Linked DNA regions of Canis lupus familiaris. The protein of the gene in region 1 purifies or fractionates together with the protein of each later gene. This does not show direct contact. Links are inferred from orthologs where the notes say so. Each region holds a gene or a part of one and is shown on either strand. Other genes may lie near its edges.

Region 1 (4,357 bases):
CCGATGTGGGACTCAATCCCAGGACCCTGGGATCATGACCAGAGCCAAATGCAGATGCTCAACCGCTGAGCCACCCAGGTGTCCCAAGTCTTGTATTTTAAATCACACACTTCGTCGTACTTCTTACACATGGAATGGCTGTCTAAAATCTCTTCCATTGACACAGTGAATAGATGCTTTTCATACAATATGCACATTCAGAATTTCAACTTGTTTGGAGCAGACACTGTTGGTCAAGGAGGGCTTTGCAGCTCCACTGCTTTTATCCACCTTGCCTTCTTCATGCGATAATGTGGAGGCTCAGAAGGGACAATGAAGAAATGCTTATGCCACATTGTAGTGCCTCCCAGGCAGGCACTGTCATCACTGGAGCAGCAGAATCAGTGCCGTCCCCAGGGAGGAAGCCTCTCCAAGCACGCTGCTGGGCTCCGTGACTGGATGTGGACCACACGGGGCTACTTTTACCATTAGCCTGTCAGTGGGCTGCTGCCAGGATAGGGCGCCTGCTCTCATCCTATCAAGTGCCATGTCTTTCTCACTGAGCCCCTCTGCCACATCTCGCCTGACCGGCCCCACACTCATCAAAATGACCACATTTAATAGGAAGAAGTCTGGAATCCCTTCCTAGTCTGGCCCAATTTACCACTCGTTTCCAGCTGCTGGGTCGTGTTTTGTTTGCTTTTTACACATCACAACAGACTCAGTGCCTTAAAACAACACAAATTTATTATCTGACAGTTCTAGAGGTCAGAAGTAACTTGGTCACATCTGCCAAGTCCAGGCAACACATCTCCAGGTTCCAGGGATCAGGACATGGACATCTCTGGGGGCTGTTTTGAGGTCTGTGACATCCATCCTCCCGGATTCATTTCCCACAACGCTCCTTCCCGTGTCCTGTGCACTCTGTCCCCGGCATATGCCATATTGTTAAGATAAGCGACAGCACACAGTAGCAGTTAAGGGGCCTAACTGCGGACTCAGACTGTTGGGGCTCGAGTCTGCAGCCCGCCACTTGCTAAATGGATCTGGACAAATAGCTGTTGCTGTGGTTTTAACCTAGATTACAAGGAAAAGTAAATTAGACCACAAGGAGCCAGTATTCCACAGACGCCGATGGCCTGGTGTTTTGGATGAATCCCTATTATAAAGGGTGGTGTGTGCGTGGGTGGGGAGGGCATCGCTTAAAAGAGTAAAAGAGACAATAACCGAACCGGACGCGTAGGCCCACGTTTGGATGTGGGTTCACCAGCCGCCGCGAGGCCCTGCGAGGCCGGGTGACCTGAACGCAGGCGCGAGCGGGGGGCCGCGAGGGGCTGAGGGCTGAGGCGCAAGCGCGGCTCGGAGCTGAGCACTTTTAAAGTTCTTCTGGAGACGCACTCCGTGAACGCGGAGGCCTGCACAAGCGCCCTTTCAAAGCGGGAGGACCCCGTATCCGGGATCTCTTCGGACGTGGGGTGTGCAGGAGGAAGCGAGACGGCCACAGCGGGAGCTGCGGAAGCCGGTGACCGGCACCGGGAGCTGACGCTACCCGACTCGTCCGCCTGAAGCTTTCAACACCGCTCCGCAGAACACATCCCGGAAGCTCTTCTTTCCCGGGCTCTGCCACAAAGCCCGTGGTGCCCCTCCCCACCTCCCGGAACAATCGCCCACATCTTCGCCCTCGGCACATCCTGCCCTGGACCTGGACCTGGACCGGGCGGGGGCGGGGGCGGGGGCGGCAGGCTCGGAGCCCGGGCGGCGCGGGGAGCCGGTCCCGCCCCCCGGCAGCAGGTAGGTGGCCCGCCCCGAGGCACCTGTGCCTGCGGGGACCCCCCTCCCCCGCCCCGCCCCGCCCTAAAGGCCCCCAGTTCCTGCACGTGGCTCCCGCCCGCCGCCTGCGGGGCGCCTCGGACCCGCACCCACGGGCCGCCCGCTCCGCTCGACTTGGCTCCCGACCGCGCCGCCCAAGGTCTTCCTTCCCACGCCCGCCCACCTGCCGCGGCCGCCGCTACCTCCCGCACCCCGAGGCCAGGCCCCGCGGCGGAGAGCACCCCCTCCCTCCCCCTCGACACCGAGACTGCGCCTGCGCGGAGACGGCCGCACGTCGTGCAGCCCCGCCCGCACCTCGCCAAACCCCGCGATACTTCACCTTTCCCTCAGGTCCGCCCTCCCCAACGGCCTGGCTGACCTGGAACGTTCTAAACCCCTGCGCACGCGCTCTGAGGCCCTTAACGTCCGGGCTCCGCCCTCCCCTGGCCACGCCCCTTCCCGTCTGGGAGCTACCCGTCGCCACGCCTTGCCAATCATCCACTTCTTCCCCAGGGCGACCCCGCAACAGGTCTCTGATTGGCTGGTCGGGGGAGACAACGCCGAGGAGGGTCGGTGACGATAGGCTGGGAGCCGGTTCCGCCTACTGGCAGTTTGCGTGGAAGGTGATTGGCTGGCGCCTCCGTCCAATCAGCGGTGGGCTGTCGGATTCAAACCGGGATCGTTGGGCCTGCGGTCGGTTGGTCGCAGTCGAGTCGTTGCTTCGGCCTGACGCGGACGTGTGGCCCGCTGCGCCCGCTCTTCGCGCCCCGTCGCTCCCGCCGCCCGCACGATGGCCCACAAGCAGATCTACTACTCGGACAAGTACTTCGACGAGCACTACGAGTACCGGTGAGCACTACGAGAACCGGCCTCGGCCGCGAGGCTGGGCGGAACCGGAACCGGGGTCGGCGTCGGCGTCGGCGTCGGGGTCGCAGCGCGCCGGCGGGGGTTCGGGTCGGGCCCGAGGGCGGCGGGCGGCGGGGCACCAGGGCCCCGGGGCGTGCGGACCGGCGTCCCCGCGTCCCCCGCCCTTTGTTCGCGGTGGCCGGGCGGGGCCGGGGCTGTGGGGCCCGCTCCCTCCCTCTCCGCTGCGCCCTGGGGGGCTGCCGCGGCGTCGGAGCGCGGCCCGGCGGCTGGGGGTAGGCGCGGCTGGACCCGGCGCCGGCCCCTGGGGGGGAGACGGGCGGGGCGGGGTGGGACTGGGTGGGGCGGGGCGGGGCCGGGGGAGGCGGGGGGCACGCTGCGGGCGGGGGCGGGGGCGGGGGCGGGGCCGTGCCGTGGAGCCCCGGGCCAGGCTGCGCGGAGGGTCCGGGCGGAGAGCGGCCCCTCGGGGAGTGTTCCCGGAAGCGTGGCATGACCCGGGCCGGATTTCCGGTCTCCGAGACCGGGTCCCCGCGCGGGGTCTCGGGACAGGAGCGTCGGCCTGAGGCCCGCGGCCCTCGGGGGAGCGTGTGTCCTGAGTTGCCCCGGGCGCGCCCGTCACGTGGACACCGTCCCCGGCGTAGTTGGGGAGCGGCGGCCCCGCGGAGGGAACAGGGGGGCTGAGGGTGTGCTGCCGGCGGACAGCGACGTGGAAGGCAGAAATGAGGCCGTTCACGGGGCATCTCAAGGAAACGTGCACAACACGTAACCACCAGTCAGGCTTTGCGTCAGAGGATGACGTCAGTAATTAGTGTTGGGGGGTCGGGTGTTACGTATAGGTTTTCAACTGTTTGAGGGGTCAGGGCCCCCAACCCCGTGGTGGTCAAGGGTCAACTGTAGTTCACTGGAATTGGTAGAAATAGCATAATTCGATTTGGAGGTCTCAGGGCAGATTTAAAAACATGGTGGTAGTTCCAAGGCTCACTGCTTCTGTGAATAATACGTACGGGTATGTAGTTCACTCGTCACCGAGAATGTAAGCTGATGACCGTCTCAGTGTTTATGTGTAAGGAGTTCAGTTTTCTGACAGAAAATGTGACTGACCAGATTCCCCTTCTCTCCCCCCCCCCCCCCCCCCAGCCAACTGACCCACAGCTAGATATTTCATACTGGTCAAAAATTTTGGTTAGTGTCGAGAACTCCATAACTTCATATTGCCACTGGGAATAGTAAAACTGGGTTTGGGAATTGTGATTGATAAAGGCCTTTTTACTGCAATTAAGAGGGATGCAGACTTGTCTTTCAGAATTTACGAAGTTATAGTTGTACACGTACAATGTATACGTACATTGAAAAGAACATCTTTTCCTTAAAATAACAAAGTTTTGGACATAAGTCGTTTGGATAGAAGTCAGTAACTTCTGAAAAAAGTCTTTGGGGATGCCTGGATGGCTCAGCGGTTTTGCCCCCCGCCTTCCGCCCAGGGCGTGATCCTGGAGTCCCAGGATCCAGTCCTACAGCCCGCTCCCGACAGGGAGCCTGCTTCTCCCTCTGTGTCTCTGCCTCTCTGTGTCTCATGAATAAATAAAAATTAAGTCTTTGAGGTGGTTAGGTACACCTATATTTGTGGGACTTGAGTTTTTTACTTTGTATCTGAACAAAGCAACTTGTACAGTATACAGGACTCGTATCTACTATAAATCTATAA
Region 2 (4,467 bases), on another chromosome or scaffold:
TTCCCTAAGGTATGTGTGAATGTCCTCATGGTAGTCTGGAACTTCATTGACACTCAATGGCTTTTCATCTTCTAATACAATTGATATGTCCATAGTATGTGGTGACTCTGGGAGGATATAAAAGTATGATTAAGTTCATAGTTTAATTTTCTAATTAACAGTCAAACTGATTGGCTTTGTAAGGCATCCCATTCAAAAGCATTTATTTCATCCAATTAAAAAGGGCTTCTCATGGCAAAGAAACAATATTTCACTCTGGTTTTAGTACCTCAGTCCACTTTTTTTTTAAGTATGTATTTATTCATGAGAGACAGAGAGAGGCAGAGACACAGGCAGAGGAAGAAGCAGGCTCCATGCAGGGAGCCTGACGCGCGACTCGATCCCGGGACTCCAGGATCACACCCTGGGCCCAAGGCTGGCGCTAAACCGCTGAGCCACCCAGGGATCCCCAGTCCACTTGGTTTTAATCAACAAGAGAAAATACTGCTAGGCCACTAAAAGAGTGTGCTTGAAAATGTATTATTATGTTTAAGTATCAATCATATTCCATGAGAGAAGAGCAAATGGCACAGTGATTCTGCAAAGACAGTTAAAATCCAAGTTTTGTGGTATTATGTAGTATTTACCTTAAGAGTGCTGACCCCAAAGTCTGACATATTCAAAGAACAATGTAGCAATAACTAAAAGCAGGGTTAATGTTAATTAAAATTAGGTTTGTTATGAGCAATTCAAACAAATTAACACTATAATCACCAAATGTTTCATGTTTTGTAATTTTAAATTACTTTTTGAGGCAAAGAATATCATTCATTACTCTTTTCAAGTTTCATTGTAAGGTTAAAGTTTGTTATAAATTTTCAAGAAAAATACAAAAATTACTTTATTTCCAAAGGATTTTCCTGCTATTCCCAGACCACTTCTCAGAACTAAAACCTAAATGAGATGAAACGAATGAATTATCCAGTGACTCAACAGACCTATCTATGTATGGTAAAGAAGTTGCACGCATAAACTGTTGGCAGAGCTTGCTTTATAGCAGCTACTTCATTTTATATGTGGTTAGCTGCAGTCATGATTCAACTCTTGCCTCACAGGAGGACAGTGTCCCTCTCTGGTATCAGACTGGATTTACAGAAAATTTTAAGCTGTAAGAGATGTTAGATATCACAATATTGAAAGCTGTATCCTATTCAAATACTCTCGTAAGTGGTATGTACACAGTGAGTTTATGAATACGGTTCAAATCTATTCTCCCAAGCAGGCAAATATTTCCAGGGTCAGATTAAAATAAGGGTTTGAGATCTAATTAAATTGATGTGATTGGCAGTAATATGGGAAGGAAGGAGCACCCAGTTAGGATTTATAGGTCACTAGGTCAATGTATGAGCTGTGAGATCGGAGATGAATCATACCCTTTCTAAACTTTGTTACATTACACCAAATTCATTATATAGTAAGGGTCAGGTAAAATAATGTCTTAAAATGAAACTATCATTAATCCATAATCACTTTAGGATTACATTGATTTGATACAGATGTTCTTTAAAACTTACCAAAACTACCATCCATTGGATAATCAAGAGGTACCAGCGGTTTTCTTGGTCCAGGTAGAGTAATAGCTGAATTAAAAGCCAGGACATTTTCATGTTCTGTTTTTTTAGATTCAGCTGGCCTCTTCTGAGTCTCTTCTTCTGTTTCATCCACATGAATGGTAAATGCAGGCTGTTTACTGTTTGCTTTCCAGGGAGGAATAGTGACTTGTTCATCATTTATAGGAAGATCCTTAAGAGGTGCAACCTAAAAAGAAATGAATAGCTAGCTTTGAGCCTATTAAATGGAGTTCTGCTTGCTTTCTTCCCCTTACGGTTCTCAGTTTCTGTTTTCACTCCCAAATACTCTAAGGAAATTAAACTATCTGGGACAAAATCCAGGCAGTAAAGTTTGAATAGCTGAAGAAAGGGATGTTCAAGTTCGTTAGCGGCATTTCTACATAAGTTATAGAATCACACTAAATGCATTTATGCAAAACTAATCAAGGCCACAAGAGGAGTGGGGTAGCAGGCTGAATGATGACAAGTTTAGGAGAGCCGGCAAAGAGGTGTTGGTTCACCGCTTTGGCCCCAGGGTGGAGCAACAGAGCAAATCCGGTAAAATGGCGGAATTTAGTAAAAAAAAATTATTTTTTATACTCTTTCCTAAAGTAAAGGTAATCTTAACCAAATGGCGAGCAGGAAGGGGGTCCAGATCCTAGGGCAGTGCCTGGGGTTTAAAGCGGCGAAGAAAGCGCGGACATACGTCGTGGTGCTCGGTCTGACCCTCATATTCTATCGGAAAATATACCAAATAAAGAGCAGACAGGGAGCAAAACACACAGCGCTGGCGAAGAGAGCTATGGGAAAGATTTACGTGGCATCCCCCGCGCCAGAACACTAGGCATCAAGGGGACTGCAGACCCAGGCCTCCCTTACAACAGCTCGGAAGATGCTTTCTCGCCACGCTCCCCGGCCTGCTCAAACCTCGTGCAAAACTCCCGCTCGGCCCTCCTCGCCTGCAGATATCGTTCATCTCTTTACCCGCCGTGTCTTGGGCCTCTGCTGCGGCGCTGGGACGCGCTGGTTCCCGGCCTTCAGGACCGCCAACCCGGCCCGGGTCCGGGGCTGCTGGGCGGGCGCCGCCTTCTCGGGGTTGATGTTCTCCTGGTCCTCTTGGAGCGCCGTATGCTGCAACGTTAGCAGCGACGAGCCCGCCTCGCGGGCCTCAGGCCCAGGCTCCGAGCTGCCCAACATCACTGCTCCCCGGGTCGCGGCGGGATCAGCCTGCGGCGCCAAGCAGCGTGTACTGCGTCCCGCCGACCCCGCCGAGAAACGCTCCAGCCGCAGCCGCCCGCGGCAGTCCGGGCCAGCCTGCTCGCTCGGGATCGCGCAGCTCCGAGGACGTTGCGAAAGGCTCAGGCAGGAACTGCCGGGCGTGGAGGGCTCAAGACGCCCCCGAGATGTAGCGAGCAGCCCGCCGGAGCGGCGGCTGTTCGTGCAGTTCAAGTATCCCGCGACTATTGAAATGGGCCAATGGGAAGGGCCGATGCCCCTGACGTCACTCAAGGCGACACGGTCGCAGACAAATGAAGGAAGCCGTGAAGGCCACGGAGCGGGGGCGGAGAAACGCCGAAAGGCGGCGGGAGGGAAAACGCCTGCGCCGGCCAAAGAGGCGGGGCCTGAACTTCTAGTGACTAAACTGGGCCACTTGGTGACCCGAGGGTGCTGGGCCGCGGCTGTCTCTAGGACCGACGGAGTCAAACCCCAGCAATTGTTAGTGGCCGCGCCTGCCTAACGCTGGCCGTGGGGCCCTCAGTTGGCTGGACTGACTGGTCTCCCAAGCTCGGATCCGACCCAGCCGCGAACCGGCCTGGTAGGCGGGCCCCGTGATGACACGTCTCTGATTCTCAGTGTTCTCATCTATTAATTGGGGGTAAAATGCTACATGTCGTATGGCTGTTGTGATTATGTAATGTGCGTAAATCATTAACATGCTTGCTTACTGATCCTCGAGTGTGGACTGTACTGTCATGTATCATTTAGGGGTTTCTTCAGTCATGCTTCCGAATTCACCTCATGAAGATGTGATTAGGTAGGTGCTACCTTAACTACTGTTGATACATATATATAAACAAATAGTAATGTACTGGAAGAAACTCAACTAGACAGTCACTAATTTTGATGCTTTTCCCAGCTGTGCCAGCCAACAAAAAGCACCCAGTGAAATTTCTAGTGACATAGATACAGAATTTTGTTCCATTTGGCAATGAAGGCTGTTTAAATAAAAACAACATGACCTTTTAAAATAAAACTCTCAGTGATATGTGCCTTTAACAAGTTCTCAGATTTAATAAACAAGGCTTGCATATATTAATATAATGGTAAAGAATTAAGAGACCTTGTTTTCTGACAAATTCATGAGGATGCCCTTCTTAAAAACATGATTATATAATCTTTACGCCATTTTAAAACAATCTTCAAACACAATATTCTCCTGAGTATGAAGAAACATGAATTAACATTAGTGAATAAAACTTCTGTAGCTTTAAAGTCTTATTTCCCTCTCTACATGATAAAACAAGTCAGTGGACACTAGTGCAGGAAAATCTAAGAGGCCATCACTATTTCTGCACTATTCACATGTAGTAGCCTTGTACAGTTCTACTGGTTATAGGACAGCAAGTGAAGATCCCTTCAATCTGTGCAGCTCTGCTCATTTCCCTGGCCAAAATTTATAGCACTGAGCATACTCAAGCTCACAAACTGAGCACGGGTCACAAAACATTACCTAGCAAGAGTGAAATCAGTTGCAAATTGGGGGATCCCTGGGTGGTTCAGTGGTTTAGCGCTGCCTTCCGGCCCAGAGTGTGATCCTGGAGACCAGGGATCCAGTCGCACATCAGGCTCCCTGCATGGAGCCTGCTTCTCCCTCTGC

The links.
Region 2: the proteins of CKS2 (region 1) and CCNA2 purify together in Homo sapiens (affinity purification with mass spectrometry; 3 studies listed by BioGRID and IntAct, counting the BioPlex papers as one, with this or other methods). This does not show direct contact. The link is inferred for Canis lupus familiaris from reciprocal best matches to the Homo sapiens genes CKS2 and CCNA2.

The regions. Positions count from the first base shown.
Region 1 is NC_049222.1:97,648,295-97,652,651, reverse strand, and holds the start of CKS2 (cyclin-dependent kinases regulatory subunit 2), read left to right. Parts: upstream 1-1,360; 5' UTR 1,361-1,770; intron 1,771-2,128; exon of another isoform or gene 2,129-2,301; 5' UTR 2,302-2,578; coding exon 2,579-2,637; exon of another isoform or gene 2,638-2,720; intron 2,721-4,357. UniProt on the Homo sapiens protein: Binds to the catalytic subunit of the cyclin dependent kinases and is essential for their biological function.
Region 2 is NC_049240.1:19,143,244-19,147,710, reverse strand, and holds the start of CCNA2 (cyclin-A2), read right to left. Parts: upstream 3,072-4,467; 5' UTR 2,787-3,071; coding exon 2,574-2,786; intron 1,798-2,573; coding exon 1,554-1,797; intron 108-1,553; coding exon 1-107. UniProt on the Homo sapiens protein: Cyclin which controls both the G1/S and the G2/M transition phases of the cell cycle. Functions through the formation of specific serine/threonine protein kinase holoenzyme complexes with the cyclin-dependent protein kinases CDK1 or CDK2.